Linked DNA regions of Lonchura striata. The protein of the gene in region 2 purifies or fractionates together with the protein of the main gene of each other region. This does not show direct contact. Links are inferred from orthologs where the notes say so. Each region holds a gene or a part of one and is shown on either strand. Other genes may lie near its edges. The genes, in order: GTPBP4, MECP2, KPNA3 and YBX1.

Region 1 (7,805 bases), on a different chromosome or scaffold from region 2:
TTGAACTTGCTACTACTCACATCAGACACAGCCACAACTAAATCAAATTGTTTAGAAGCTACCTTATTTTAAATAAATTGTATCTCAATATTATCTATGGAAAAACCACTCACATACCTTATTTATAAAGCTGGATTTCCCAACATTTGGGTAGCCACACAGCAGAAGAGTTCGTGTATTGGGATCAATGGTTGGCAAACGAGACAAATGCTGTCGTACTGAAATATTAAAAATATTTTTTAAGTATCTCTGATAATTTAAGTTTTACTGAGATGGAATAACTATATATATCTGAATTGTCCTAAAAATCAGTAACACTGCTGATATAATATGATCATTCATAAAGGTATGTAATACCTTGAGGACTCCACAAGTATCTACGTACAACAAAAATAAAATTTAAGAAATATTTAAGAAATGAAGACCACTGTCTTACAGCTAGAATGACTCCACCAAATCAGGCAACACAACCTGAGACTAATAAGTTTGAAGTAAGGAGTATTTTTCACATATATGTTAGTGAAAAGAATGGTAAGTAAAAGCATGCCTGTGACTTCTAAACAAAGTTTTATCACTGTTAGCAATACCATAACACTTAATTAATATTCAAAGACAAAACTATTTTTTTACAAAATAAACACAAGTATTTGAGGATTTAAAAAGTGCTCCTGTGTTTCCTGGATCTGTAACCTCTACTAAACACATTCTTCTGCTACTAAGTGTAATAAACTTTATATCCAATGCATTTTTAGCCCGTATTTCACACCAACCTTGCTCCAAGTACTCCAGGCTCTGTTTCTGTCTCTTGATGATGGTGCACATGCGTCCCAGGGCCGCCCGTTTGAGCTGCTTGCAGCGGTACAGGGAGTCCCCGTACTTCATCAGCCGCACGTAGTCCTTGGCCACGCTGCGGGCACAGGAGAGCAGAGCTCAGCCACCAACCACCAGGCACAGGCAAAACCAGAGAAATCAACGCCCCTTACTTGTCAATCAGATTCTTGGCAATGTTGATCTGCCCCAAAGCCAACTTGTAGTGATCTTTGTCATACAGGACATTCATCAGGTCCGCGTAAAAAGGATGAATATCCTAAAACAAAAGCATGATGTTAAGTCTCATACTTTCTTACTCTATTTCTTGCACATAAATTTGTTTTGTTTTTTTTTTTTTCTCCAGTACAGCAACACAAATGACAGCAAAAGCCAAACAATTTTCATTACTATCATATGTCAGAAAAATAATCTGCTTGGTCATTAAATGCATGAATCTTAATTCCTCTGAATTTCTTCTGCAAACACATCTTTGACTTACTCATACAGAGTCTCCATTTCACCTTTTGCTTTCTGAAATACTTCCTAATACAACTTTGAAGTCTCTTTTTCCAAAGAAAAAACTGCAAGAAGCCAACAGAAATTGTCTCAAAGGATATTCATATTATAGCAGAAATACCGCAGTACTATAAATTCCTTTTCTTTTATGAGTGCTGCAATGAAATTCTATGCAAGACTGGACAAAAAGAGATTTTTTAATGCCCAAATAAATCCTCAACTTTTCAAGGAAGTGGCATCTCTGCTACAAATCTTTTAAGTACAGTATTTCAGCTAGTTATGTATTTACCTGAAGAAATTTCATCATGGTGATGAAAAAAAAACCCAGAAGATATTTCTGGGAATTCTGGAGCAACACTCACCGGATATGAAATTATCAAGAAAAACAATTTAATAAGTGAATAATTTCAGTCTGAGCAGAAAACTGCCCATAAAAAAGTCCCACAGGGAAATGAATACAGCTGCAGTTGTTGGAAGTTAATAATGTGTTTCTAACCCCACCCTTTATTGGGCCAAGGACAACATTTTATGTTGTCAAATTAACTCCTGAAGATGGAAAGCAATATGATATATTATATTTCTTGGTATTTCCTTGAGAAGACTAAATATAAGTACAATTTCCATATGCATACACACAGAAGAAATAAGAAGCAAGCAGACACAATATACTTAAAACCCCCCACATTCTACCTTAATTTAAAAGCAACTTTTGGTAAACATATCTGATCAGCTAAAAGCTTGTAAAATCCAGCTTTTAATGGCCATCCACTAGCACAACTTAGACTTCTGCTCTTCACAGGAGCATACTATTTTTGTAGTACAGGTTTTGCCTACTACTCACAGTAAAATCTGCTTTAAATCAGCCAAATTGTCTACACAGAGTAATCAGCAAATGAGAAAACACTTACATCTAATTTCGGGAAATCTGTTAAGATCTGAGTGAGTCTGTCATGGTAATTTTGTTGAGTATATTTGACTTTTCGCATATAAAAATGCCGAATCCGATGGATTTGATAATGTTTATGAATGACAGTTGGGGTCTTCCGCTGAGTCTTTGACAATGTCAAATCTATGAAGTCCTGCAATGGAGCAAACATGATTAATTACACGAAACGCCAAGTTCTTGTAAAGGCAACAATTTTCTTTTGGTGGAGGAGGCTGCTGACGAGTGAAGTGCATCCACAGTTTGAGAGGAATGCTTTAGGCACGCAGGAATAAGCAGTTTGCACCTTCCCTGCCCCGTTTCTATTCCAAGTTTCTATTCTGGCTGCCCCCGGCCCAGCCGCCCCAGCCAGACCGAGCCCTGCTTGGAGCTCCCTTCACCCTGCTGCATTTAAAAACCCTTCCTCCGACTGGTGGAGGACTTTATTTTGAAGCAAGACGCTTTCGGTATGAGGCAGGTTTGTAAAACGAGAGGGGTTATTGTGGGGGACAGCGCGGCGTTAAGGATCCGTGCTCAGGGACCCCCCCGGCACTGTACATGGTACGGGCCGCCGGCCGCAGCAGCACCGGCACGGGCGAGTCCACCACTCCCGCGGGAGGGGGAGGAGGCGAAGGCCGACACCACGCCGGCACCGCGGAAGGGGCAGGAGGGCAGCGCGGTCCTCGAAGCCGCCGAGCGGGAGGGACGGCCCGGTGCGGAGGGCACGGAGGGCAGAAGCAGGGGCCGGGGCAGGAACGTGGGAGCGCGGCCATACCTTGGCAGACGGAACCACCGTGATCTTCTTGAAGTTGTAGAGCGCCATGGCCGCCGCCACCGCCGCGCCACGCGCCGGAAAGGGAGCGCGCCCGGCGCTCTCGCGAGAGCTGCGCGCGCCCCGCCCGCCGGGAGCGGGAGGGAGAGGGAGGGGAGCGGGTGAGGGAGGGCGAGACAGAGGGAGTGTGGGAGGGGGAGCGTTGGGGCTGAGTCTGGCCTTGCCAGAGAAGCACTTGACCGCGAGCAGGGTTCTAGTGAAACAAACTTTAAGGAATTTAGGCTGTGTCCTGTTGTCCTGTCACTGGTTGCCTGGGATAAGAGGCCGAGCCCCTCCTTTCATGGAGCTGTAGTGAGCAATGAGGTCCCCCTGAGCCTCCTGTTCTCCAGCCTGAACACCCCCAGCTCCCTCAGCTGCTCCTCACAGAACATGTGCTCAGACCCTGCTCCAGCTCCATGCCCTTCTCTGGACACGATTCAGCACCTCAGTGTCTTGAATGACATATGGGATGTTTAGAGAAAGAATGAAATCTGTGAAGACCAATGGATTAATGTTGATAAGGGAGGAAAAGTTTGGGGAAATGGAGAGAAAAGCGAATAAAAGAGGCTGGTAGCACACACGGTCAGTAAAAATATCTGCTCATACCTTGCACATGCCATTACTACAGTTTGCCCTTTTTACTAAACTCCATTCCTGACCATTTTCCAGATTGAGGAGGCTTTCTGTTCTGTTCCTGTGAGTGAGAAGCCAAGTGCCTGCCACAGGAGAAGAGGCAGAGATCCATGGTGGCCGTGTTTCCAGGGTGCCAGGAATGGAGGGATCGTGGTACATGCACACTGTCAGTGTACATGTACATGCATAGACACACTCGACAGGCTGAGAAACTTGGGGCTGTTCAGAGGAGCTTGTGTGGAAACCTCACAGGAAACTTCCAGTGTCTAAAGGGGGCCTACAGCAAAGCCAGAGAGGGACTCTGTCAGTGAGTGATAGGACAAGGAGTAATGGGTACAAACTGAATAAAGGGGAAATTTAAGTTATATATTAGGGAGAAATTCCTCACAGTGATGAGACCCAGAACAGCTTGCCTAGAGAAGCTGTGGTTGCCCCAGCCCTGGCAGTGTTCAAGGCCAGGTTCGATGGGACTTTGAACAATCTGGTCTGGTGGAAGGTGTCTCTGCCTATGGCAGGGGGTTGGCATGAGATGATCTTTGAGGTCCCTTCCAACCCAAACCACTCTCTATGTGTGTGTGAGTGCAACTGGGAGAGCAGGGGCTCCCAGGGGCCAGAATGATCCAAGTGTCGAGTCTCTATGTGGGTGGACACATGCACAGAAATATCTGGACTGGGTGTGTGTGTTCCCGCTGCAGGTACATGCTCAGTCTTCCTTTCAGCTGGGTCTGTGGTCATGGGGCTGCAGCAGCCTCACCTCCTGATGAATTCTGACAAATTCCTGATGAATTCCTAACCCAAAACAAACACACTCTTACTTCCCTCTATTATTGCTTTTCCTTAATTTCTTTTTTTTCATAATAACTTTTAGTGACTTGTCTCATTCTTAATTGTAAATCCTTTCAGATAAAGACAAAGCATGAGTGAATTCTGGAGCAGTTTGTGAACTTGACTGTACCTTGTGCTCTAGGGTCTTTTGTGTATCTTCAGCAAACAAGAAATACAGATATCTAAGATACCTGAATGTAGGCACATCCTGCAGTTTGCATGTATATCCCTGTTTTCTACTCGACAGTAAGCTGGCATGCACATCAGTTTTAAATAAATTGCAAATTACTTGATACTCTTTGGGAGGCAAACTAGATTAAAAATTAGGAATTCCTTTGGCTTCCACACTAGTTTGGGTTTTTTATCTCCACACAAAACATGACATTATTCACTTGAGAGAATTTATTTATATGTTAATCTGTGATTGCACATTTTTCTACACTACTAGAATTTTAATGCATAACTCCTTTTACATTTCTTTTATTTAACTGTGCTCCTGGTTTTGCTGAAGTGCTCCAAACAGCTGTCCAGTGCAGTGGAAATTTGTAAGCTATTTGAAAAGTAAGAACTCATTTTATCAGCCAGATGATAGTTAATCCTTTCCAGTTAACTGTAGTAATGACTGCATGAGCACTACTGGATGATAAACATGCCCTTAGAACCATTCCTGTCTCTGGCCTCACAGTGGGGCTGCAGCTGCCCTGTTCTGAAGGGACATGCAGCTTCCTAAACATTTTGATATGACTACTTCAGTCTGTCTTCTTGAGGTGTTCTTGAGCAATGAGATTTGACTTCACACTTTATTTATACTGTATTTCGCAAATACGTCATTTTATGGAATAGAAGGAGCTTTTCTCTAAGTATATTCCCACATTTCCCCAGTTTCTGGAAAGATCCTTCCATGAGGTGGCCTGGGACATTCAGACTGCCCAGCAGCTGGAACCAGCAGTCTCAGCTTTCCCCAGTCCATGGCACTTTTACATGTGAGCCCCCAAGGTTCACATGCCCATTGCAGGCACTCCAGACTCACATGCAGACATGCTCTGTGCACCCCCTATGATGCTGATCCTCAATATTCAGATTATCCAGGAGCAGGCCCTGGCACCCCTGCTCTCACACTGCCTGTGCATTACTACTTTCTTGGACAGTTTTCAAGAGAACAAATTTCAAGACAAAATTTGGGTACCATTCTAGACATTGTGTCCTCTTGTTCCAGAAGTCAGGAGAAGTAAGACCATGTCAAGTTATGTTTCTTTTGGACCAGAAAATTCCTTATCCTAGCTGGTTTTCTACACTCAGACATTCTCATTCATATTTATGATATATTTCAGGCATGTAACACTTATTCTCTATTTCATGTTTTAAACACCATTCTAGTAGACTGTAATTCATATCAATTTGAAATTGAAAAACACAAAATTATTCATGTGCATTGTGCAAGGGTAACTAATGGCACCAGCAAGGTTCATGTGCTGTGCCAATCCACCAGAGAGGAACTTCCAAAAACAGGCACAAGAACGGACAAGGCCCAGGGAGCCACCCAAGTATTCCTCTGTAAGAAATGCTTCTGCAGAACACATGCAGGAATTTGCATTATTACTAGATATGGCATTACAGAATCAATCAGGTTGGAAAAGGCCTCTGAGACCATGGAATCCAACCTTATGCCCCAACATCACCATGTCAACCACACCACAGCAGTGAGTGACACATCCAGTCTTCTCTTAAACACCTCCAGGGACAGTGACCCCACCACGTCCCTGGACAGCCCGTTCCAATGTCTAATCACCCTTTCTGTGAAGAAATTCCTCCTAATGTCCAACCTAAACCTCAACCACGAGTACAACTTGTGGCCATGGCCTCTCCTCCAGTTGCTGGTTGTCTGAGAAGAGACCGACCTGGCTACAGTCTCCTTTTGGGCAGTTGTAGAGAGTGAGAAGGTCACCCTTGAGCCTCCTGTTGTTTAGTGTCGTTATAGGACACGAAATGAGTGCACAGAAGCTTGGTAAGTTCAGAAGAGAAAAAGAGCCAAATTTATTTCTGACCTCACAATATATAGAATCCCAAAAGTGACAGTGGATTGGAGGATGAAACTGCCACCTCTCCAACCACACTGGTCAAACCAAGAGTCCATCAATTCTCTCCTCCTACAAAGAAGAATGCAAAATAATCATTATTTACATGAACAGTGCGTGAGAACTCCAGTAGAAATATGTAAACATCAGAAGGCATGGAAAGCTTTTAAAAGAGCTTTAAAACTTTCAAAAGAACTATAAAAGAAATCTTAACACTTTTAAAAATCAAGGCACCAGTTCAGGCTAAAAACTCCCAGCTCCCTCAGCTGTTCCTTATACGACTTGTGCTGCAGACCCTTCCCCAGCGTCCTTTCTCTCCTCCTGTTTCCATAACAGAAGAAAGCTTTTCAGAGGGGTTGTTTGATAAGCTGTTGGTCTGGCAGCAATATGCAGTCTGCCTCACCTTTTGATTTCAGCAGCTTAAAAGCCAACTAACAGGCTAGTCAGAAAATGGTATTTCTGGAAGCAATTTTGCTTCAGTTTAATTCCTTGGTTTTGAAAATCTCCATATCAGTAGCCAAGCTGAAGAAAAATATTCAGTCCCACTCTGGTCCACACAATGGAAAGGCATGGCCACAAACAGACCTGGCAGCTTCCCTAACCTTTTTGCTCTGTAGATTGGATGCAAGAGGTCAGGGCCAAGAGACACTGGTAGATGCCAGGTACAAAAAACTACTGCTTCTTCTCTAGCAGCTCCTCCAGGCTTCATCAGACAGCATCAATCTCTGAACTACCAGCCCAGAAGTATCACATTAAATACAGAAAATAAAGCTGTAAACAGGCAACAGTGCTTACACTTACCTGCAGTATCTGAAATATCATGAGCAAGATTTTATTTTGAAACAGGGCCATTTCGTATCAGCACACAAAAGGCACATCACACAAAGGGAACTTCCAAAATTGTAATATTAAGATTCAGACTCTCTTACTAAATTATTATTACAAAGGGCATGCATGGTGATGGATCAAAGTGCTTTGGAGAGCGACAATACTGCCCCAGAAGAATAATGCCATCTAATGCATCTCAGGAACATGGCTGAGGCACACTCAGGAATACACTCAGGAATACAGTATTATTAGCTGTAGTTACTGTGTAATCCTGGGAAAACTTTGAAATTGTTTAAGGAAGTACAATAAAGACCCACCACGTTTTGCCTTTCCCAGCTGCTCCTCTTTTGCTTGTTGAGGGAGGAGACAGCTTTACCAGAATGGA
Region 2 (8,164 bases):
CATTTGGGTGGTCCCGGGGGATTTTGGGCGGTCCCGGGGATCATTTGGGGGGTCCCGGGGGATTTTGGGTGGTCCCGGGGATCATTTGGGCGGTCCCGGGGGATTTTGGGTGGTCCCGGGGATCATTTGGGGGGTCCCGGGGGATTTTGGGTGGTCCCGGGGATCATTTGGGGGATCCCGGGGGATTTTGGGCAGTCCCGGCTGACATTTGGGGGGGTCCCGGGGGATTTTGGGTGGTCCCGGCTGACATTTGGGGGGTCCCGGGGGATTTTGGGCGGTCCCGGCTGACATTTGGGGGGTCCCGGGGGAATTTGGGCGGTCCCGGGGATCATTTGGGGGGTCCCGGGGGATTTTGGGCGGTCCCGGCTGACATTTGCGGGGTTCCTTGCCCTCCACCCCCCCCCCCAAGGGGGGGACTACATGTCCCAGGGTCCCTCTGGGGACCCCCCCCAGGTGTCCCCCTAATCCCGGGGGGGTCACGGGTGGCCGGGATTAGGGACAATCCCCCCGGAGGTGGCCCCGATCCGGGGGGGGGGAGGGGGCGGGGGTGGGACCCCCCGAAACGGGGAGGGGGGGTGGAAAAAAGTTGGGGGGAGGGGAGAGGAACCCATGGACTGGGGGGGATGGGGGGTCCGGGGGGGTTTGGGGGTGTCCAGAGGGGGTTTGGGAGGGGGTCCCATATTGGGGAGGGGGTCGGGGAGGTTGGGGGGTGGTCCGGGGGGGGGGTCGGGAGGGGCCGGGGGTGGGGGAGGGGGGATTAGAGCTCCATCCCCGCTCATCCCCCGCCCTCCCCCACCCCGCTCCGGACTGGGGGCACCGTGAGCAAACTGGTGGCCACAGTGGCCGGACTGGTGGCCGTCCTTGCCATACTGGTTTTACTGGTGGCTGCAGTGCCCATACTGGTTCCATACTGGTTTTACTGGTGGCTGCAGTGCCCATACTGGTTCCATACTGGTCTCCGTACTGGTGGCTGCAGTGCCCATACTGGTGCCATACTGGTTCTTTACTGGTGGCTGCAGTGCCCATACTGGTTCCATACTGGTCTCCGTACTGGTGGCTGCAGTGCCCATACTGGTGCCATACTGGTTCTTTACTGGTGGCTGCAGTGCCCATACTGGTGCCATACTGGTTTTACTGGTGGCTGCAGTGCCCATACTGGTTCCATACTGGTTCTTTACTGGTGGCTGCAGTGCCCATACTGGTTCCATACTGGTCTCCGTACTGGTGGCTGCAGTGCCCATACTGGTGCCATACTGGTTCTTTACTGGTGGCTGCAGTGCCCATACTGGTTCCATACTGGTCTCCGTACTGGTGGCTGCAGTGCCCATACTGGTGCCATACTGGTTCTTTACTGGTGGCTGCAGTGCCCATACTGGTGCCATACTGGTTTTATTGGTGGCTGCAGTGCCCATACTGGTGCCATACTGGTCCCCATACTGGTGGCTGCAGTGCCCATACTGGTGGCATACTGGTTCTTTACTGGTGGCTGCAGTGCCCATACTGGTGCCATACTGGTTCTTTACTGGTGGCTGCAGTGCCCATACTGGTTCCATACTGGTCTCCGTACTGGTGGCTGCAGTGCCCATACTGGTGCCATACTGGTTTTATTGGTGGCTGCAGTGCCCATACTGGTGCCATACTGGTCCCCATACTGGTGGCTGCAGTGCCCATACTGGTGCCATACTGGTTCTTTACTGGTGGCTGCAGTGCCCATACTGGTGCCATACTGGTCCCCATACTGGTGGCTGCAGTGCCCATACTGGTGCCATACTGGTTTTACTGGTGGCTGCAGTGCCCATACTGGTGCCATACTGGTTCTTTACTGGTGGCTGCAGTGCCCATACTGGTTCCATACTGGTCTCCATACTGGTGGCTGCAGTGCCCATACTGGTGCCATACTGGTTCTTTACTGGTGGCTGCAGTGCCCATACTGGTTCCATACTGGTCCCCGTACTGGTGGCTGCAGTGCCCATACTGGTGCCATACTGGTTTTATTGGTGGCTGCAGTGCCCATACTGGTGCCATACTGGTTCTTTACTGGTGGCTGCAGTGCCCATACTGGTGCCATACTGGTGGCACTGGTGCCTCTACTGGTCTTGTACTCGTCTCAGTTGTCCCCATACTGGTCCTGCACTGGAGTCTGTGGTGCCTGTACTGGTCCAGGACTGGTGGCCACGATCCCCATACTGGTCCCTGATGTCCCGTACTGGTCCCACTTGTCCCCGTACTGGTCCCAGTTGCCCCATACTGGTCCCAGTTCTCCCCGTACTGGTCCCAGTTCTCCCCGTACTGGTCCCAGTTGTCCCGTACTAGTCCCAGTTATTCCCATACTGGTCCCAGCTCTCCCTGTACTGGTCCCAGTTATTCCCATACTGGTCCTAGTTGTCCCCGTACTGGTCCCAGTTGCCCCATACTGGTCCCAGTTGTCCCGTACTGGTCCCAGTTATTCCCATACTGGTCCCAGTTATTCCCGTACTGGTCCCAGTTCTCCCCGTACTGGTCCCAGTTGCCCCGTACTGGTCCCAGTTCTCCCTGTGCTGGTCCCAGCTCTCCCCGTACTGGTCCCAGTTATTCCCATACTGGTCCCAGTTGTCCCGTACTGGTCCCAGTTATTCCCATACTGGTCCTAGTTGTCCCCGTACTGGTCCCAGTTGCCCCGTACTGGTCCCAGTTGTCCCCGTACTGGTCCCAGTTATTCCCGTACTGGTCCTAGTTGTCCCCGTACTGGTCCCAGTTGTCCCGTACTGGTCCCAGTTATTCCCATACTGGTCCCAGTTATTCCCATACTGGTCCCAGTTCTCCCCGTACTGGTCCCAGTTATTCCCGTACTGGTCCCAGTTGCCCCGTACTGGTCCCAGTTGCCCCGTACTGGTCCCAGTTGCCCCATGCTGGTCCCAGTTGTCCCGTACTGGTCCCAGTTCTCCCCATACTGGTCCCAGTTGTCCCGTACTGGTCCCAGTTCTCCCCATACTGGTCCCAGTTCTCCCCGTACTGGTCCCAGTTGCCCCATACTGGTCCCAGTTCTCCCCATACTGGTCCCAGTTGTCCCGTACTGGTCCCAGTTATTCCCATACTGGTCCCAGTTGCCCCATACTGGTCCCAGTTATTCCCATACTGGTCCCAGTTCTCCCCATACTGGTCCGAGTTCTCCCCGTACTGGTCCCAGTTATTCCCATACTGGTCCCAGTTCTCCCCGTACTGGTCCCAGTTGCCCCGTACTGGTCCCAGTTCTCCCCGTACTGGTCCCAGTTGCCCCATACTGGTCCCAGTTCTCCCCGTACTGGTCCCAGTTGTCCCGTACTGGTCCCAGTTATTCCCATACTGGTCCCAGTTATTCCCATACTGGTCCCAGTTGCCCCGTACTGGTCCCAGTTCTCCCCGTACTGGTCCCAGTTGTCCCGTACTGGTCCCAGTTGTCCCCATACTGGTCCCAGTTCTCCCCGTACTGGTCCCAGTTCTCCCCGTACTGGTCCCAGTTATTCCCATACTGGTCCCAGTTCTCCCCGTACTGGTCCCAGTTGCCCCGTACTGGTCCCAGTTCTCCCCGTACTGGTCCCAGTTGCCCCATACTGGTCCCAGTTATTCCCATACTGGTCCCAGTTCTCCCCATACTGGTCCGAGTTCTCCCCGTACTGGTCCCAGTTATTCCCATACTGGTCCCAGTTCTCCCCGTACTGGTCCCAGTTGCCCCATACTGGTCCCAGTTATTCCCATACTGGTCCCAGTTCTCCCCATACTGGTCCGAGTTCTCCCCGTACTGGTCCCAGTTATTCCCATACTGGTCCCAGTTCTCCCCGTACTGGTCCCAGTTGCCCCGTACTGGTCCCAGTTGCCCCATACTGGTCCCAGTTCTCCCCGTACTGGTCCCAGTTCTCCCCGTACTGGTCCCAGTTGTCCCGTACTAGTCCCAGTTATTCCCATACTGGTCCCAGTTCTCCCCCTACTGGTCCCAGTTGCCCCATACTGGTCCCAGTTCTCCCCGTACTGGTCCCAGTTATTCCCGTACTGGTCCCAGTTATTCCCATACTGGTCCCAGTTGCCCCGTACTGGTCCCAGTTATTCCCGTACTGGTCCCAGTTGCCCCGTACTGGTCCCAGCTCTCCCCATACTGGTCCCAGTTCTCCCCGTACTGGTCCCAGTTATTCCCATACTGGTCCCAGTTCTCCCCATACTGGTCCCAGTTCTCCCTGTACTGGTCCCAGTTGTCCCGTACTGGTCCCAGTTATTCCCATACTGGTCCCAGTTCTCCCCGTACTGGTCCCAGTTCTCCCCGTACTGGTCCCAGTTGTCCCGTACTGGTCCCAGTTCTCCCCATACTGGTCCCAGTTCTCCCTGTACTGGTCCCAGTTGTCCCGTACTGGTCCCAGTTCTCCCTGTACTGGTCCCAGTTCTCCCCGTACTGGTCCCAGTTATTCCCATACTGGTCCCAGTTCTCCCTGTACTGGTCCCAGTTATTCCCATACTGGTCCCAGTTCTCCCCGTCCTGGTCCCAGTTGCCCCGTACTGGTCCCAGTTCTCCCCATACTGGTCCCAGTTCTCCCCGTGCTGGGGCAGCGGGACCCGGGGCGGGCGGGGCGTGGTCGGGGCGTGGCCTCGCGGGGGCGTGGCCGGGGGCGTGGCCTCACGGACCGTTACGGCCGTTGGATTTCAAACCCTTCACAGCGCGGGGGGGCCCAGGCCACGCCCCCTCCGCCGTCTCTTGACCGACGTCCCCTACAGCCAATCAGCACCCGGCGTCCCGGCGCGGGGCCCAATGAGCGGCCGCGCGCGCTCCGCCGACCCCGCCCCCCGTAACTGACAGCGCTTCCCGCCAATTCCAACGGCCCGCCGCGAGCGCCCCGGCCCCGCCCCCGGAGGGCGGCCCCGCCGCCCAATCGCCGCGCGCCGACGCCTTGACCGACGGTGCGCTCCGCCAATCAGCGCCGGGCGGAGGGGCGGGGCCAGCGCCGCTCCGGGTTCCCGTCGCCGCTCGGTCCGGGCCGCCCCCCCCCCCTCCCGCCCCCCCCCTCCCGGCCCCCCCCCTCAGCTTCCCCCCCCCCCCCCCCCCCGCGGGTTCTTCGCTGCGAAGAAAATGGCGGCGGCGGCGCCGAGCGGCGACGAGGGGCGGCTGTGAGTGAGGAGGGGGCGGCGGGGCCGGGGGGGGGCCGCGGCGGCTGTTGGGGAAAGCTGTGAGGGAGCGGAGAGCCGGTGGGGGGGGGGGGGGGGGGGTCTCGCGCGCGCGCGCGCACGGGGCGACGCCCCCCCCCTCCTCTCTCCCTCACGCCCCCCCCCCCCCCCCACATCCCCTTTTCCTTCCCCTCACGGGCCGGGCGGGAACCGGGGATGGCGGGCGGGGGGGGTGTGTGTGTGTGTGTGAGGGCTGGGGGGGGGCTGCGAGCGCCGCGAGTGCGTCACGAGCGGCCGCGGCCCCCCCGGGGGGCGGGAGGAGCCCCCCGGCTCCGGGGAACCCTCGGTGGGACCCCCCGAGCCTTCCTCGGGACCCTCCGCCACGGGGGGACCTCCCTTCCCTTTCCTCCGCCAGCCCCACAAAATGCGGCCCCCCCCCTCCAACCCCATCCTCAGCGCCGCTGTGAAATTTGGGGACACCCCCCCCCCCCCAAAATACACCCCTTCCCCAAAATCCTGTGTGCGTCGCCATCCCGTCAGGGTGGGATTTGGGGACCCCCCATCTCTCGCAGGGACCCCCGCCCACCCCCCCCCCCACAAGGGGACACACCCCCCCGGCCCGTCCCGCGCGCAAAAAAAACCCAAAAAAACCGCCCCAAACCCTTCCCGAGTCGCCCCAAAATCCACCCCGAACCCCCCGCGAGTCACCCCGGATTTCCAGAGTTACCCCAAACCCCCCTAAATCACCCCGTGACTCCCCGAGTTAGCCCGACACCCCCCCCGAAGTCACCCCAAAACCCACCCCGGAGTCACCCCGAAACCCTCCTGAAGTCACCCCAAAACCCACCCCGAAGTCACCCCGAAACCCTCCTGAAGTCACCCCAAAACCCACCCCGAAGTCACCCAAAAACCCTCCTGAAGTCACCCTGAAACCCACCCCGAAGTCACCCCGAAACCCTCCTGAAGTCACCCCAAAACCCACCCCGGAGTCACCCCAAAACCCTCCTGAAGTCACCCCAAAACCCACCCCGGAGTCACCCCGAAACCCACCCTGAAGTCACCCCGAAACCCACCCCGGAGTCACCCCAAAACCCACCCCGAAGTCACCCAAAAACCCTCCTGAAGTCACCCTGAAACCCACCCCGAAGTCACCCCGAAACCCTCCTGAAGTCACCCCAAAACCCACCCCGGAGTCACCCCAAAACCCTCCTGAAGTCACCCCAAAACCCACCCCGGAGTCACCCCGAAACCCACCCTGAAGTCACCCCGAAACCCACCCCGGAGTCACCCCAAAACCCACCCCGAAGTCACCCCAAAACCCTCCTGAAGTCACCCCAAAACCCTCTTGAAGTCACCCCAAAACCCACCCCAGAGAAGTCACCCCGAAACCCACACCGAAGTCACCCCCAAACCCTCCTGAAGTCACCCCGAAACCCACCCCGGAGTCACCCCAAAACCCTCCTGAAGTCACCCCAAAACCCTCCCGAAGTCACCCCAAAACCCACCCCGAAGTCACCCCAAAACCCTCCTGAAGTCACCCCAAAACCCACTCCAGAGTCACCCCGAAACCCACCCCGAGTCGCCCCAAAACACCCCGAGTCACCCCAAAATGTTACGCCTGCGCTGCGCCCCAAAATACCCAAATTTGCCCCGAACTTTCGCACTCACGTGGTGCCCCAAAACACCCCGGGTTACCCCAAAATAACCGGAATTTCCCCAAAATGCTGCACCCCAAAACTGCCTCAAATTATTGCATGCACGTGATGCCCCAAATTATCCCAAACTGCCCCAAAATGATGCACCCCAAAATACCTGAAAACGCCCCAAACCGCTGTTCACGCTGCGCCCCCAAACCCCCTGAATTATCCCAAAATGCTGCGCCCCAAAATACCCAAAATTGCCCCAAACTGCTCCTCACGCCGTGTCCCAAATCCTCTCGATTTACCCTAAAATCCCCTGAATTGCTCCAAAATTTTCTGCTCGTGCGCCACCCCAAAATACCCAAAATTGCCCAAAACGCTGCTCAGGCAGCACACCCCAAACACTCCATTTACCCAAAAATCCCCCAAATTTCCCCAAATTGCTGCACTCATGCAGCGCCCCCAAACTCCCCGAGTTACCCCAAAATACCCTGAATTCCCCCAAAATACAACAGCCCCAAAATACCCAGAATCGCCTCAAAGTTGCTTCAAATGTTCCCCTCATGCTGCTCCCAAAAACGCCTCAAATTCCCCCAAAACAGCCGCGCTCCCGCGGCCCCTCCGAGTCCCCCCAAATTCCCCCAAATCCCACCTGGAATTGCCCTAAAACTGCCCTCACGCCCCGAAATCCCACAAATCATCCCTAAATTTCCCAAATGTTGCCAGAATTATCCAAATTTCCCCGGAACACCCCAAAATCTGGGGTCTCACGCCCACCTTTGCTGTGCCCGGGGTTGTGCCCACCCCAAGACCCCCTTGGGATCCTCAACCCTGGGGCCACCAGGGCCACCCCAGACCCCTCTGGGACCTCCCAGGGACCCCCCAGGGCCACCAAGAGACCACCCAGGGCCACCTCAGCCCCCCGACCATGGGACATGTCGGGGAGTCCCTGGGGGTCACCCCTTGTCCCCAGTCCCCCTCATCCCGCCATTCCCACGCCCCTTCCCAAATTTTTTTGGTGCCGTTTTTGTGACTTTTAGCCCCAGGATGGGGCTGGGGGGTCCCGGCCGTGCTCCCCTCTCGGTGGGGAGGGGTCGGGGGGCTCTCCTGATGTCCAGGGTGTCACCGTGGGGACCCCCAGCGCTGGGGAGGGGGTCCTGGGGGGCTGCATCCCCCTCCCCATGACCGACCCCACGGTGGGGGTCCCGCCCCTCCCCGAGCCTCACCTGTGTGTGTTTCCTCGCCAGGACGGGACCCCCGCGCCGGTGGCAGCGGTGACACCGAGGACGGGGGTCCCACCCCACCCCAAATCCCCCCCTAACGAGGGTCCCGTCCCCGGTGACACCGACACGGGGGTCCGGTGACAGCCCCGGTGACAGCCCTGCGCTGACCACGGCCCCCAGGGCTGGTTTTAGTCC
Region 3 (7,519 bases), on a different chromosome or scaffold from region 2:
TTCAGAACCTTTGATTTCTGCTCAACAGATCCGTTCCTTTACTCTTAGAAAATCACAATGGGATCCATAGCAAAATCCAAATGTACTTACCCATCTTTTGTTTCCCTTAAAGTTGCATTAAGAAAAAGCAAAGACAATTATATGTCCCAGCAAACCCAGTAATAAAATACAGGTTAAGTACAAATTAAAGGAGTAAGTATTTTGGTCTGCCAGAAGAGTCTGTTCCCGGAGGGGATCAATAGCAACTCTTAAGTATTTAATAGCAGTCAAAGGAAGATTACTAAAGAATGTGTTCAAGCTTGATGTGTTCAAAGGCAATGACTGTCTCCAGGCAGAAGGTGACTCAAGTGCAACTGTTTTCAAACTGAAGCTGAGACAGTACAGCTTTGAGTATTTTAAATTTTCCAAAGGATATAATCTAGATATCAGATCATGATTTATCATGTCATCATTCTAAATACTTCATTTCTCTCTGGTGGAACTTGACAAAATAAGAAGATGTAGATCAATGCCAATGAAAGCACTGTTGCCTCCTGATGTCCAAAGATGAGTAGAGAAAAGTGGAGGCAGGATCTCTATGTCAAACTCTTTATCGCAGTACAGGGAGCAAACCAAGTGTATTTAATTGCTGACAGTTGAGAATCAGGTATATTCGATTTAGAAAACAAATACTTTGTGAAGAGCCAGTAACTTTGACTACATAGAGACAATCTGCGCAATCAGCAGGCCAGTCTGTGTACCAGTTCCTCAAGAGAGGCACAGTACCTAATGGCAATTATATAGCTCTGCTGTGCTCATTCGTTCTCCACTCTAATCTTAACTTACATTGTTTTACTTTTAGAGGCTTAAGTTAGATAAAGTTTACTCCAGAAGGGTACTTCTAACATGAACTTTTAAATACCCAAATCAGAAAAGAGTCAAAAAGGATGTTTAGTAGAAAATATCAGACATTTAACACAAATTAAACTGTTTTGAAAGACACTGAAACATTTCCAATCTTTAACAGTCCTTTACATGAAACTAAATTTCATTTTAGCATATCTCCATGGGTATACAACTTTAAAACACCTCTGCATTTTATCTACTTGTTAGTGCAAACGAAGTATGTTACCTAGGTTTTAACCCTTTTCAAAAGCAGATATGACAGCTTTAACTACATTACCATTATTGGAGCTCTGCACCAGTCTTAGGCTCAGCCACAGAAAGGAAATCAGTCAGTACACTGGAAGGCTGGGATATACTTCTCCATAACAGCAAATACACTACTCCAAAATAATAACTCCTCTTCAGGGGGAAATGAGAGCTAAGCTACCTTAGCTGGTCTGGCAGAAGTAATCTCAGCAAAGCTTAGGCAGTCCATTCTCTCCTTCCTCCCCATGGAGGCAGATATTTAATTCCCCTCATCTTGAGCGTGCTATAATATAAGCAAGCGTGGATGACAGATCAGCTCACACTAGGCATGAACATACCTAACCTTTCCCTGTTTAGAGCTCTGATGGATTCAGGCCAGTTACTGAGAAAGCAGCAACAAAGCCAGTAACCAATACGGAGGGATGAGACAAGGACAAAATGAATGAGGAGCAGCAGGAAGGGCCTCACTGGATGAGAAGAGGAAAAAGAAATGCACCACGCCCCCTCCTTACCCTGAGAAGCTACTGCTAAACAGAAGGATGGGCCATTTTTAGTTACTTTCTAACGTTTACTAATGTTAGCCAGAAGTGTTGGAAGTTATCATACTCCTTACATGCAAGGTTTTCTGTAAGAAAGACTCGCTGATGCAGTCTTAAATAAAAATTAAAGATTGCTTTACACTGCGAATGTCATCTTAAAGACATTGCTGCTGCTAAGCCTGACCTGCATAAAATTGTCTCCACCCAAACAATAGCAGCAGAACTGTGAATTCTGCCAAAATACAGAATGTGCTTTCAGAGCACTAAAATTCCAGTCTACTGATTACGGAGTAAAGTGATAAAATCAACAGAACCATGGAAAACACTCTCAGGTGAAGTCAAAGTAATCCGACACATATTTAGGTTTTCACTCCAGCGAATCCTAAGCCGATTTCAATTCTAGCCTGATTTCAGAGCTCCCTCCCCCTTCCTTTCCTATTACAGAAACTTAAATACGAGATTTGGGATTTCCTCTTTCAGTTGCGAGTAGAAATGAAGATGTGTCCGATAATGACACGCAGATTCGAAGACCTCTGGAACATCTCTGGGGACTAAGCTCCCAATAACCCTGAAACTCTCAAATTCGGGGGAGTAAGCTACTACCCCATTAGTCTTACCGAGTACCGCACTCCTTCCCCATTTAGACGCAGATGCCCAGGAAACCATTACTGACGTGCCTACCAGCATTTGAAAATAAAGTATAAAAACTGAAAAGAAGAAAGGGGTTGATACAAGAAACAAAACGGGCCAGCGCAGCACACCGCAATCAGGCTCACCAGAGCGTGGGAGCGGTCCCCGGCACGGCAGGGGCCTCCGTGCGCGGCAGCGGCACCGCGGGCCGAGGGCAGGGCAGCCCCGAGCTCCGGCGGAAGGGCCGCCACCGCCCCGGGGGGGCGGCACAAAAGGCGGCCGGCACCATTGTCCGGGGCCCCATCCGAGCGCCGGGCGGGGGAAGGCGGCGAGACGCGGAGGCCAGCGGCGTGGAGCGGGGAGCGCGGCGGGAAGAGACGGCGCCGCATCCCGCCGGCCCTGCCCGGGGCCCGCGGGCGGCCCGGCCGCGCCAACCCTTCCCCCGCCGCCGCCTCCGCCCCCCGCCGGCCGCGCCCGCCCGCATGACGGCGAAGAAAAACCCCCCCAGGCGTTCCCCCCGCCGCCTCCTCCCGCCGCGAGCGCGGCCCAGCCCGGCCCGGCCCCTCCTCCGCCGGCCGCTGGCGGAGGCCGGGCCCGGCCGGGGCCCCGCCGGCCCCACACGCACCTCCGCGTCGCGGCCCTTGTTCTTGAAGCTCTTGATGCGGTGGCTCTCCAGGCCGGTGGCGGCGGCGTTCTCGGCCATGGCGGCTCCTGCGAGGCGGCTCCGGCGGCTCCCGGCGGCGGCTCGCGCGAGGGGCGGAGGGAAGCGGGACGCGCTCCGTGACGAGCGCCAAGGGGGAAACGGGCGGGGAGGGGGGGGGCCGCTGGCGCGCGCGCGCCGTTGCTGAGTGACTGGGAGAGGGGCGGGGGGGCGGGGAACGGGCGGTGCGAGCGCACGTGACGCGAAGGGCGGGCGGACGCTGTCCAATCGCGGCGCGGCGGCGCGGCTCTGGTCCCGCCCCCGCCCCGCGCGGCATTCTGGGGCGGGTAGTGCCAGCAGGCTGCGGCTCCGCACGTGGAGCGGCGGACCGGCCGCGGGGCTCCAGCTCGACGCCGGCGGGAGAGCCGAGGGCCTAACGATACTGTGCACACAGAATCGCAGAACAGGTCAGGTTGGAAGGCACTACAGTGGGATATCTGGTCCGATCTCCCTGCTCAAGCAGGGCGAGCTGACAGCGCATGGCGCAGGATCGTGTCCAAATGGTTCTTGATATCTCCAGTAAAGGAGACTCCACAGTCTTCTCTCCAGGTAAATGTTCCAATGTATGGTCACTCACACAGTAAAGAAGTTTTTTGTCATGTTCAGGTGGAGCTTCCTGTGCATCAGTTTCTGCCCATTGCCTCTTGTCCTATTGCTCAGCACCACCAAGCAGATCCATGCTCTTGGCACCCTCTCTTCACTCACTCATAGACACTGATGAGATGTCTCAGTCATCTCTTCTCAAGGCTGAACAGGGCCAGCTCCCTCAGCCTTTCAACACAAAAGAGATGCTCCAATCCCTTATTAATCTCTGTAGCTCTTCACTGGACCTGCTCCAGGAGCTCCGTGTGTCTCTTGTGCTGAGGAGCCCAGAACTGGACACAGCACCCCAGCAGGTGCCTCAGCAGGGCTGAGTAGAAGGGCAGGATCACCTCCTTTGTCCTGCTGGCAATGCTCTTCCTAATGCATTGCAGGATCCCACTGGTCTTGTTAGCTGTGGGATTTTCCCCACAATGCACCCTGGAGTGACCCCACTGGCAAGGCTCATGCACAAAGTGGCCTCAGGCAGCTCTGCCAGCCAAGGCTGTGTTGTGGGTCTGCTCTGCACCTCCCTCTGCTCCTCATGACTGCAGTAACATTGCTGCATGCAGCCTGGGAAATGCTGCACAGCAAGCATCTAAGAAATCCAGGTGTTTTGGAAGCTTTGAGTCCCCATTGGTGAGTCTGCCATGAAAGCAAGCCCTGCCTGGGAAAAACAAATCCAGCACTTTGCCAACGTACCCTTCATGCCACACTTCTATGTGGTAGCTGGAGCTACATACCAGCTTCAATGCAGAATACAAAGGGGCTCTGCCAGCCCAACAAATTGTCCCCAACCTGTCAAAATTATTGCAGCACGACTCCCTCTGGGAGCATTTGGACAGACTGCAGACAGACCCAGCACCTCCAGATTGATGGTAGCCTGTCCCTGGGGTCCCCTGTCGGGCGGCTCTCCAGTGGTGGAGATCCCGGGGAGCAGGGACGATGGAATAAAGAAATCTCCAGCCGAAGGCGGGTTGGCTTCGAAGCAGCTTTAATCTCTGAGGGCTAAGTGTCAGGGACTGAGCGAAGGGGTACAGGTAGACAGCCTCACAGAAAGGGAGCTGGCTCCGAGAGCCTCGAACAGGGGGCGGGGTAGAGATTATGTTAGGGAGCAAGTAGGAGGGACATGGTACAAAGGATCCAATAGGAATAGGGCTAGGAGGAGGAGTTGGGATGAGATAATGGGGATGCAACAAATGGGAATAAGGGAAGGGGGTGGTAACAGGGGAAGAACCAATTGTAGACAAAGAACTTAAGAACATTCCAGAATAAAGGGTAAGTACAAAAGTGATTGACATAAAGGTGGGCATAACTGAAGGTTACATAACAAGAGGGGAGTGGTAGGTTTGATGGGCAGCTCGGAGGCGGGGATCTACACAACAGCCTCCTCCCAAGGCATATTCGGGGGGGCTTTCCCCAAGTCCCCTACCACATCTCCCCCTTCTTTATTAATTAAATAAACATTCCCTAAGGTCTTAATTAACATCCTCTTAAAAATTGCTAGGGCAACTAAAATGATAAGGACAATAACTAAAATCCATAAAAGTCCTCGGAGGATAGAGGCTGCCCATCCCGGGACGCCCCATTGAGAAAGCAACTTGGTGGCAGGGTCCACAGCCGAGGTTTCAGTTTGTAGATGTTGGACTTGTGTCTGGATACGCTGGATGCTGGCTTGGATGGATTTGCTTCTCGATGTTAGGTTGAAGCAGCACAGTCCTTCAAAGTCCTCGCAGCTGTGGCCATGGGCTAACAGCAAAAAGTCTATCGCCGCCCGATTTTGGAGGGTGGCCTGCCTGGTGGTCTGTTCGTCCGCCAAGAGGTCGGAGAGGGCGGCGGACGATGCGTTGGCATGCTTTGCTATCCAGCACTCCAGGTGAGAAAGCTCACCGAGGGCTTTAGCGACCGCATACCATGGGAGAAAGATGGAAGCGGCAACCCTCTTTGTTTTTCCCCAATTATAAATTTTGTCATCGCAATTTTGGTCGAATTGGTCATAGGATCTTTTTTGTCTGGCCAATTGTCTCTCTTTCTTCCAATCCATAATTTGGGTTTTGTTTGGAGTGAGGGTAGTAAGCTTGCCAAGGCTACATGGTCCTCCCTGGAGCCGAGATGGGATGCCTGACCATACTCTGTCCCCACAGACAAGAAACATCCCCCGGGGTAACGACTTGGGACGACTGGAGGAGACAGAAATAATTGGACTTGTGTAGTTACACCAAGTAGCCGAATTATATTTTTTGTTCAATGGTGTAACGTCTTTTCTATATGTGTTTTTGGCCAAGTCAATTCCATGCCAATTCTGACTTGGCCTCTTAAAATAAAACTTTACACAATAGGTGGCAGGAGAGGACCCTAACAGATCCAATTCTTGGGGCTCCTCTTTCGAATTTGGTAGTATTTTCGTCCACGCGTCCCAAGTGTCGACCGGGTTAGGTCTCCTGCCCGTGGTTCGGAGCAGGTCAGAGTTGGAAACCGGCCAATCATCGGCTACCAGAGGGACCCCCACCAGGCATGTGGACAACGGGTTGTCCACATTGCCCATGGCCAAGCAAAAGTTCTCTTGCTGGAGGGACTTTGCCAGCGTTACCCAGACGTTCTCCTTCGGCTGTGGCACAATCCAGCCGTCCGCCGCCTGCAGCCACATGATGGTAAGGAGCGTGAGGCTTGCGGCCAGCCGGATACGTCGGGGCGTCCACTCTCGTAGGTCGTTGGTGGATGTCTTTTAGGCAGCCATCTCTAGTGAACTAAAGTGCAAAGAGAAAATATTCAGGAAAAATATGGTATTCTTCCCCAACTCCCCTAACTCCCCCTTTTCATTTTTAAGTAAAAAATTAGATATTTAAGTGGGGTAGGAGCGACGGGTGAGGTAAGAGGGAAGAGGAAAAGGGATAGAGGGAGACGGGGTGTTAGGGAGGTCGTCAGCTGAAGGTGGTGCATAAAGCCGGGTGATGAGTGTTCTGCAAACGATGTTAGGGTACTGTTTTGTCGTCTTTCGTTTCCTCCTCTTCCAAGCGGCCGCGGTGTCTGGCGGCACCGGAGTGGGTGCTGTTGAAGTGTGCATTGGTGTGGGGTCCAGATCGTTGGAGCTTTCTAGGAATGGTTTTACACATCTCGCTGGAATCCATTTCGGGCCCTGTCCTGTGGAAATACAAGCATACCCTCGCCCCCAAGTGATGAGCGGGTATGGGCCGCTCACCTGCTTGGACTCCGGATCTCTCACGAGTACCGGTGGGCGTTCTTTCAGCTGGGCTCTTGTGTTATTATAGAAATGTCGGAGGACTGGTGGATTTGGTTCTTTTTCTGAGCAATTTAGGAAGTTTAAAACATAAAGTGCTTTACAGACCCTCTCTATTGGGGTCATTGCGAGTGCTGAGTCTTGTTGCTGTTCTAGCAACTGTTTTATATTTTTGTGAGTCCTCTCGATAATAGCTTGGCCCGTGGGATTGTGAGGAATGCCGGTAGTATGGGCAATCCCCCATTGTTGTAGGAATTGTTCAAAACGGGCAGATGTGAACCCAGGCCCATTATCTGTCTTAATAGCTTTTGGGACCCCTAGAGTCGCGAATGCCATATATAGATGTTTGATTGAATCTTTGGTCTTCTCTCCCGTATGGAGAGAAGCAAAAACAGCACCTGAGAAGGTGTCTACTGACACGTGAATATATTTCAGCCTGCCAAAAGGGCTGTAATGAGTGATATCCGTTTGCCACAGTTCCAGAGCCCCGAGTCCTCGGGGATTGACCCCCGTTGCCATCGATGGCAGGGCAAATGTCTGGCAACTGGAGCATGTGGTGACAATTGACCTTGCCTGTGCATGTGATATTTTAAATTGGCGAGCGAGGGCCGGCGCGTTCTGATGGAAAAACGCGTGGCTGAGCCTCGCTTGAGCAAAAGTGTCAGGTAAGTTTGTGGAAAGTGCCGGTGCAGTCAAAGTAAG
Region 4 (7,834 bases), on a different chromosome or scaffold from region 2:
GATCAATAAAAGGAGAAGAGAAAGGGAGGACTTTTGAGCCTCCTTGCTCAGTACCGCTGTAGGACTGACACTACTGAAGGACCAAGGAGTTACCATTTTGCATAGTCTTACCTTGACTTGAAAAAAGTACCACTCCCTCTATCTGAAAAGAGATGTTTTCACTATTTACTGTTACTTAGGTTTCATATTGGTTAAACCAATAGTCTCAGGCTAACATACAGTAAGTGTTCTGTCTCCATTTGTTAGCTCAATTTACTGTAAAATCTACAGGTATTTAAATCTGTCTAGATTTCAGTGTGTTGGGCTGCAGCTTGTCAAAAATCTGCTGTATTAGCCTTTTGGTTGCTGATTTTTTCCAAATTTCAGGAGGCAGTTTGGACTCACAATTTTATACTCACAATACTCACAATTTTTGACCTTCCATTAAATTATATCCAAAGGCAACTGGAATTGCAAAAATGTTCCCTCTTTTGTAATAAAGTCTTAGAGACCTGCAGCACTTCAAACTCTTGGGAGCTCTTGCTATTTGATGAAGTTTCAACAGGGAATGTAATCATTCTTCCATTCCCCTGGTTCTTCTGGTGGCATTTACAGGCTTTTGAAAAAAGTCTGCTAGTAAGGCTGTCTCTTTTCTTGCAGAGCTGTGTTGAAGGGTCAGGTCTCCTTTAGATTTGTACTCCATCCCAGACTTTCTTACCATTTTAGTTTGGAGTACTGTGTCCCTGGCAATCCCCAGCTTGAGCCTGGAAGCTTCACATTCATAGGTGCAATGCTGGTGCCAGCTTACTTATTTCCCTAACAGGTCTTAGGAACAGCCTTGCTGCACTCTCATGTCTCTCATCTGACTGGGAACAAGAACAGCTTTTGCATTGCCTGACGTCAGAAAGCTATATCAGCTACTTGTCAAGATCCTTGAAAATCAGCTGGGAGAAACAGGCACTCTTGCTTTTAACTTCAGAAGTAGATGCAGTTGCCTGACAGGCAGATCCAGGAGGATTCCTGAGTTCTCTGGATGATGAAAGCTGGTGAAGCTTGTGTGTGTAGCAACTGGCATGCATTTAAAATTGCTGTGTGGCCCCCAGTATTACTGCACAGCCTGGCTGTTGTAGGATCTGTTGGGAATGGTTGTCCAGCATTTAGACTTACATGTTTCTTCTTCCTTTCAGTGTTCCTTTACTGGTGATTAGACCTGTGCTGGCTCCAAGCAATTCCAGTTCCAGCCAGCTCACCCACTGCCCAGACTTCTCCACAGGCCAGATCCATCCTCTTGATGTTCTCCTGAAATTATTTAATAATGGGCTTTTTTTTTTTTTTTTTTTTTTTTTTTTTTTTTTTTTTTTACATTTTGAAATGTAATTAAAAAATTTTTAAACATGTGCAGTGCACATCAATTAGCATTAGTGGGAATGGATTCTTCTCTAGGTGAAAAGGGCTGTAACATCTTCAGCAACATGCATTGTCCCTGGCCAGTTAGTCAGGAACATTTACTGATTGGTATTGAAAGAAGGGGTGAAAGGAGCTTGGTAGAGCTGTGCTGCACCAGCTCTTTCACTCGGCAGGTAACTACAACTGCCTGGCTGGCAGAAAGGTTGTTGGCACATCTTGGGAATCTCCAGAACTGAGGAATTGGTATAGCACAGATTCCATCACCGTGAGTGCTACACTCTGAGGAGAGTTCTGATGTAAACAGGTCTTTCAGTCATCGAGCTGTTATGTGCCACATATGTTGGAGGAGGGGTTCACCTGAGTACTTACAAGGGTGTTGGAGCAGGCTTGGGAAAAACAGAATGGTGATGCTATAGGAATGAAATTGGGGCTGCTTGTCCTGTTTAGTGAGGAGAGTGCAGCTGAGGCTGCCTTTCTTCCAGAACAGGGCTGGGAGCTCACCCTCCTGGCAGGGGACAAGCCAGCACCCTACACAGTGCTGGGTTCCAGCAGGAACTTCTCATCCAGCTGTTTAAAGGTAAAGGACCTGATGAAAGTTAGGACAGAGTCTGTTCTGTCACATGCAGGTGATTCATCCCATGTGGAAAGATCCCAACTGTGCCTGGGCAGTGGGTATAGGGTGCACTCTCTGCCTGACCTGAGCCTTGCCCAGCACTGATAGGCTGGAGGAAGTTCCCACAGGCTTAGCTGTGCTCTTTTCTCTCATGGCTCTTTGAAATCCTAGGAGAAGGCTCTGGCTGTCAGGATTCCTACGTCCTCATTCCTAGAATTGCACAGCAGCTGAGAACACTCACTTCTCTCCAGCCTGAGGCATGTCACTTTGTACCTGCAGAACATCAGGTGATAAAAGAAGCACAAGCACCCCAGTCCTTTCTTCCTCAGCCCCACACATGCTTTGCAGAGGGCTCTCCTGTGAGAGGAGGGTTGAAGATTCTCAACAGGCTGGCTCAGGTGCCTCAAGGAGCTATGCCTGGCAGTGCTGTGCTGAGGTTTGCACTTCTGGCTGCTGGTATTCACCATTCAAAAAATTCACCATTTTTTCACCAGGGAAACAAGTTTATTTCTGGTCCAGGATTAGCAGCACTTTTTCAGCCTGATGTATTTATACCACTGCCACCACCTGGCCTCACTTCCTGCATAAAGGGGTCACAGAGCTTCCCCAGATTAATTAAGAGTGGCAAATCCATTACTACCTCTTTGTTATTACAATGGCTAATTACATCCCATTATATTTCCCTTAAACGTGGAATGTTACCTGCTGGCTGAAAGTCTTCTCAAAAACCACATTTTTTGTTTTAATTCCTCCATGATGGTGTCACCCTTGTGTTGTATGTAGCAAATCCTGGAATGTCCTGTAGAGGAGATGATGGAACTCCTGTCAGCTTCCTTCAACTGTGGATGCTGCAGCTGGAGATGGTATTTCTGGTGGCCTGTGCATTTCCTTGAGGGTCTGAGTTGCCTTTGGATTTCACAGTGTTACTCCACAAAGACATCATTGGGGTCCACAGTTTTGGCTGTAGGTGCATGGCTCTGACATTCCCACACATTTCCTCCCTGGAGTTTTCTTCCTCATGGGTGGCTGCCTGGTGTATTCCCTAATTTGCATTCTATAGTAAGATTATTTTTCAGGTGACTCACTGAAGTGGTTTTGGTTTGTTAATTTAAGATTTCTTTAATTTTGAGATTTTTTAATTAATGTGTTGAAGAGTGTGATGAGTTTTAGTGTTGGCTAATCACTTATGTATTTATTTCTTCTTGTGAGATAGGAAGATAGGATTAGGAGAATGGTAAAGTAGGCTTAAAATTTTAAAAGGTATAAAGAAAATTTTATTAACACTAATTAAAAGAAAAAGATAGTAAGAATTAAAATCTTTAGAATATTTTTTCTTTATTTTATAACTTTTTTTAAACTGATTATGTAAAGAAATGAAATTTAAAATTTTTAGTTCATTTAATCCTTTTTAAATAGTTTTTTTTTTTTTCTCATACAAAACTATGGCAGTCACTAAGCAGCATCCAATTTTGACATCATTCTAGCTTTTTTATCCAGGTCATCATCCTGGTGCTGATCCTGTGGGACTGTGTTATTGTTTTCAAGCCCTTCCCTTCATTAACTGAGTTGAAGATCAGGTGGAAGAGTTCCCAAGGGAGCAGGATGAGACCAATGTTCCTAGTGGGTTGATGTGGTGGGTTGAGCTTGGCCTCATTCGAGTCCTTCACCTGGCCAGGGTGGAATGTAGGGAACTGGGATAGTGAACTGGATGGTGATTTGTGTGCAGTGCTGAAAGGGCTGATCCCAAGGGGATACGTGTTGCTTGCAAAAATGGTGGAGTGGTGGGTCATCTCCCAGAGACCTTCTGAGTGGTTGCTGATGACCTTTCTCTCCTCCCATGTCAGACGAATGACATGACCAAAGCAAGAAATGTGGCCACCAACCACATTCTTCAACTAAGGAAAATTAACTTGTTGGACAAGGACAGGGGTTTCCTCGGGACCTTCCCTTTGGGGAACCCTGCAAGAGATGTCGGGTACCTCCAGGCCGCTGTAAGGTGAATCCATAGAGGTAAGGAGGTGCTGAGAGATGGTGGCTGGAGAAAGACTCTAGCAGGGTAAAGGACCCAGCACTAATGCTTTTCCGACAGCCTGAGTGGGTAGAAGGGCTCAGGGTGAGAAGCTGCTCCCGCCCTTCCAGGGAGGGAAGGATGCGATGTCTAGGGAAAAGCTGATTCCCCGCGGGTCAGGTCAGTGCTGTTACTGCACATCCGGACATGGACTGGGGAGCTCTGACAGCTCCAAATCCGTCGTTTCCCACTGGTATTTAACGCTCCCGGGCCCTTCTGGCAATCATTAACGGGAGAGGGCGCCCCCGGCGCGCTAGGCCGGGAGCCGCCCGCAAGATCGCTCTGCCCTGGGTCTTCCAGCGAGCGGAAGCGGGGTCGGGGACAGCGCCGGACAGAAGCCACCGGCGCATGGTCGCGCGCACTTCCCCGATCGTGCCCGGTGGGGGCGGGAGCGGCGGCCGGAAGGGCCAATCAGGGGCGGGGGCGGGGACTCCGGGTCGCCCGGTGAGAAAAGCTGGCTTGGCACCCACGGGCGAAGCAACCAATGGCGCGCGCTCTTGGGGAAAGGCAGGTGTCGTCGCCAATAGGTTTTCGGTGGGGGGCGGTGGCGGGTTGGGGAAAGGCCAATGGGGTCGCTCTCCGTTTAACGGGCGGGCCGGATGGCGAATCGCGGCGCGTGCGGGCGGGGCGCGCGGGGTGACTAACCGGTGCGCGCCGCCATTGTGGCCAGTTCGATCGGTATCGGGAGCGGAGAGCGGAGCTCAGCGAGCCCGGAGCAGGGAGCAGCCCCCCCCCCGCCCCCACGGCCGGCCTCAGTCACCATCACACCGCGGGAGGCGGCGCAAACAGCAGTCACCACCACCGTCCGCACCGAACAGCCGCCGCCATGAGCAGCGAGGCCGAGACCCAGCCGCCCGCCGCCCCCGTCCCCCCGGCGGCCCCCGCCGCCCCCGCCGACTCCAAGCCAAACGGTGGGACCGGGAACGGGGGCAGCGGCCTGGCCTCGGCGGCACCTCCCGCTGGCGGGGACAAGAAGGTCATCGGTGAGGGCAGCTTGGGGTCCCGGGGTGGGGTGGGAAGCTCCGATCCCACTGCCTCTCTCCCTCCATGGCTGAGGTTGGCGCGCGCTCCCTTCCGCCCGGAGGGGCTGTGCGCGCCCCCGGCTCGTGTCCTCGCTCGCGCGGCGGCCGTTAGTCGCCCCCCTCTCCCTCCCCGCCCCGCGCGCCGCCGGCCCCGCGTGCCGGGTGGGGGCGGGGCAGCGCAAGATGTCCGCCACGCGGGGCCTTTGTGCGCGCGCCCTGCCACGTGCCCCTGACGTGCCGCTCCCTCCCCTCCTTCCCCTCTTCACTCTGCCCCTTCCCGCAGCAACGAAGGTTTTGGGAACAGTGAAATGGTTCAACGTGAGGAACGGTTACGGCTTCATCAACAGGTGAGTGCCCAGACGCGGCGGGCCTTGTCACGGGGAGCCCCGGGGAGGGGGGCGCGGCACTTGTGTCCCGCGGGTGACAGGCGGGGGCGGGGAGTGGTGGTGCCTTTGCCGCCTCTCGCCCTTCTTGGTAGAAGGAGCTGGTACGATTCGCCCTTTCTCCACCCCGGGGTTTCTGTCCTGCTTGGGGCTTCCTTGGGGTTGGCTTTTGAGTCCTTTAACCCTGGGCAAGAGCTGCGCTCTCGAAGCGAGTCTGTTTCCATGGCGATGTGTCTTACATTATGGTCTATCCCTTTATGGTGTTTTGGGGTTTTTTTCCCCCCTTAAAGATATAAAAGTGCACTGGCTGTCAGCACACATTTAAACTCCTGCGTAAAGTTCAGTCAATGCAAGTAAAAATTGCTTTTAGCACTTGGTAGTTTAAACACACTCTAATGAGGACACTGTCAGCATATGGCAAAATGAGCAAAAGGAGCATAGTTCACACATTCTAGTGCCACACTCAAGTGCACAGACTGGTCTCATGAAACAAGTGCCTAGAAGATTCTTTTTGTGACAGTAGTTGATGTGAAAGACTAATTTGAACGCTTTGAGAAGTATGTAGGTACCTGAAGTAGGTCTGTCAAGGAGAGGAAGTGCTCTGCAAACAAGTTTTTAGAAAATGGGCAATTCTTGGCTCCATTGGCTGGAGGGGGGCTCCCTGGACTGTTGCTAGAGCTGTTTCCCTTATTTTGTGGTACTTAAACTCCCCAGTCTCAGAATGAGGCTGTGTACTGGGAAATCCCCTTTAGGCCAGCAAGTATAGTGTTATTATTGGAACTTTTGTTTATGTTTGGTTTAAACACTGCCTTTTGGAACTGCCTGTTACTTTATGAACTAGTCTAAATTGTTAAACTCCTGAATTAGTTCTGTGTCTGCAGCTTTACAAACCTGCCTCCCATTCTGTCCAGTTTGCATTGTTCATCATGCCATGCTTCAGTTCCCAGTGTTGTGGAGTCACCAGTGCTGAGAGCTGTTGTCTCTGGCCTTGGAAATGCCTCCCAAGTCCCAGCCACAAACCCCACCTCGAGGGAAGGCTTTTCCTGTTCCCTCAGCAGTGAAAATGTTCTGTGGTGTCAGTCAAGCAAGGAAGCAGCAGCAGCAGCTAGTTGAGACATCCAAGTAGCTTCCCCAGTCATTAATTTGGCAGCTGTTTAATCCCTGAGGTTGCCATTTGTAATGAGAAACCCAGCATGATCTCATATTATCAAGAGATTAGAGGCTGGTAACTGAAGGGGAGGACATTTCCTCAGCTCTGAAATCTTTACCTGGCTGCAGGGAAGCTGTGCAGGAGCTCCTGCCCTTGCATGGCTTTGCTTTAGCCAGGTCTGCTTTCAAATAAAATGAGACTATGGAACTGAAATGAGCTTTGAGGTATGTGCATGCTCACTTCAGGTATTTTCTGAGTCTTTTTAATGTTAGAAGTGTGATTCTGTTACAAAATAGGAAGGAGTTTGAATTCTGGGTCTTTGATGGTTGTTTCTCATGTTTGCCAAAATAACAAGTTGATGTGCCAAATCCGCTGGCTTGGTCTGTACCATAACTGGAGTTGCACTGTCTGGCATGGTATTTGGTGCCCTGCTGGACTTGGCATCTTCTTTGTCTGCTTATCTATTTCCCTTTCTCTAATATATTTTAGTGGATAAAAGATGTGAGTGGAAGAGTGGCATAGTGCAAAGATCAGTTAAATTGTTTGGCCTTTAGAATGGGTGTTCCTCTTGTACCCTTCCAAATTTTCTTTGAAAAAGTGATGGTCCTGTTGTTCCATCATCCACACGGCAGCATGCTTGCTGCTTCCAGATGTGCTTGCTGGAAAACAGCATTGGGAGTGATGTGGCCAATGGCGTGGGGCTGTAAAATGGCTTGATTCAGTGAGCCCTGTGTGATCTCGTCAGTTGTCGAGCCAAAACTCTGATGTCCTCTTGAATGGAAACTGCTTTGCAAATGGATTTTAAAAATAAGTATCCAGTCTGGTTGTCCAAAATTCAACCTGGGCAAAAGTACAAGGTATCCACATTTGTGGATGAGCACTTCCTACCACTGTTTTTTTAGCTGATGATGAAGGAAGGTGCTCAGCATTTTTACTAGAAACATGCTACTATTCTCTTGCGAAGGTTTTCAGCATTTTGGACATTGTGTTTTGAAGAAGAGTCTTTCAGCTTTGGCTTTGCAAGGGCTTCTGAGTGCTGCATTCTTGGGGCTTTGGAGATGATATCAGAATGGCTCTGCTCGGCTGCCTTTTCCCAGTAACCTTTGAGGTCTGTAGGCATCAATTTCAAGAGGAAACAAGGGGACTTATTTTTACTGGTGATGTCTGATGGAATAGCTGTAGCTTGTATGGAGTTTATGGAAGAAGTTAAAT

What was found.
Region 1: the proteins of MECP2 (region 2) and GTPBP4 purify together in Homo sapiens (affinity purification with mass spectrometry; 3 studies listed by BioGRID and IntAct, counting the BioPlex papers as one, with this or other methods). This does not show direct contact. The link is inferred for Lonchura striata from reciprocal best matches to the Homo sapiens genes MECP2 and GTPBP4.
Region 3: the proteins of MECP2 (region 2) and KPNA3 purify together in Homo sapiens (affinity purification with mass spectrometry; 3 studies listed by BioGRID and IntAct, counting the BioPlex papers as one, with this or other methods). This does not show direct contact. The link is inferred for Lonchura striata from reciprocal best matches to the Homo sapiens genes MECP2 and KPNA3.
Region 4: the proteins of MECP2 (region 2) and YBX1 purify together in Homo sapiens (affinity purification with western blotting; 3 studies listed by BioGRID, with this or other methods). This does not show direct contact. The link is inferred for Lonchura striata from reciprocal best matches to the Homo sapiens genes MECP2 and YBX1.

The regions. Positions count from the first base shown.
Region 1 is NC_134603.1:146,564,500-146,572,304, forward strand, and holds the start of GTPBP4 (GTP-binding protein 4), read right to left. Parts: upstream 3,128-7,805; 5' UTR 3,072-3,127; coding exon 3,024-3,071; intron 2,406-3,023; coding exon 2,235-2,405; intron 1,088-2,234; coding exon 984-1,087; intron 908-983; coding exon 771-907; intron 219-770; coding exon 118-218; intron 1-117. UniProt on the Homo sapiens protein: Involved in the biogenesis of the 60S ribosomal subunit. Acts as a TP53 repressor, preventing TP53 stabilization and cell cycle arrest.
Region 2 is NC_134638.1:1,378,069-1,386,232, forward strand, and holds the start of MECP2 (methyl-CpG-binding protein 2), read left to right. Parts: upstream 1-5,062; 5' UTR 5,063-5,071; coding exon 5,072-5,109; intron 5,110-8,164. UniProt on the Homo sapiens protein: Chromosomal protein that binds to methylated DNA. It can bind specifically to a single methyl-CpG pair. It is not influenced by sequences flanking the methyl-CpGs.
Region 3 is NC_134604.1:62,575,524-62,583,042, forward strand, and holds the start of KPNA3 (importin subunit alpha-4), read right to left. Parts: upstream 3,111-7,519; 5' UTR 3,004-3,110; coding exon 2,926-3,003; intron 1-2,925. UniProt on the Homo sapiens protein: Functions in nuclear protein import as an adapter protein for nuclear receptor KPNB1. Binds specifically and directly to substrates containing either a simple or bipartite NLS motif.
Region 4 is NC_134626.1:8,504,012-8,511,845, reverse strand, and holds the start of YBX1 (Y-box-binding protein 1), read left to right. Parts: upstream 1-4,730; 5' UTR 4,731-4,893; coding exon 4,894-5,050; intron 5,051-5,372; coding exon 5,373-5,436; intron 5,437-7,834. UniProt on the Homo sapiens protein: DNA- and RNA-binding protein involved in various processes, such as translational repression, RNA stabilization, mRNA splicing, DNA repair and transcription regulation.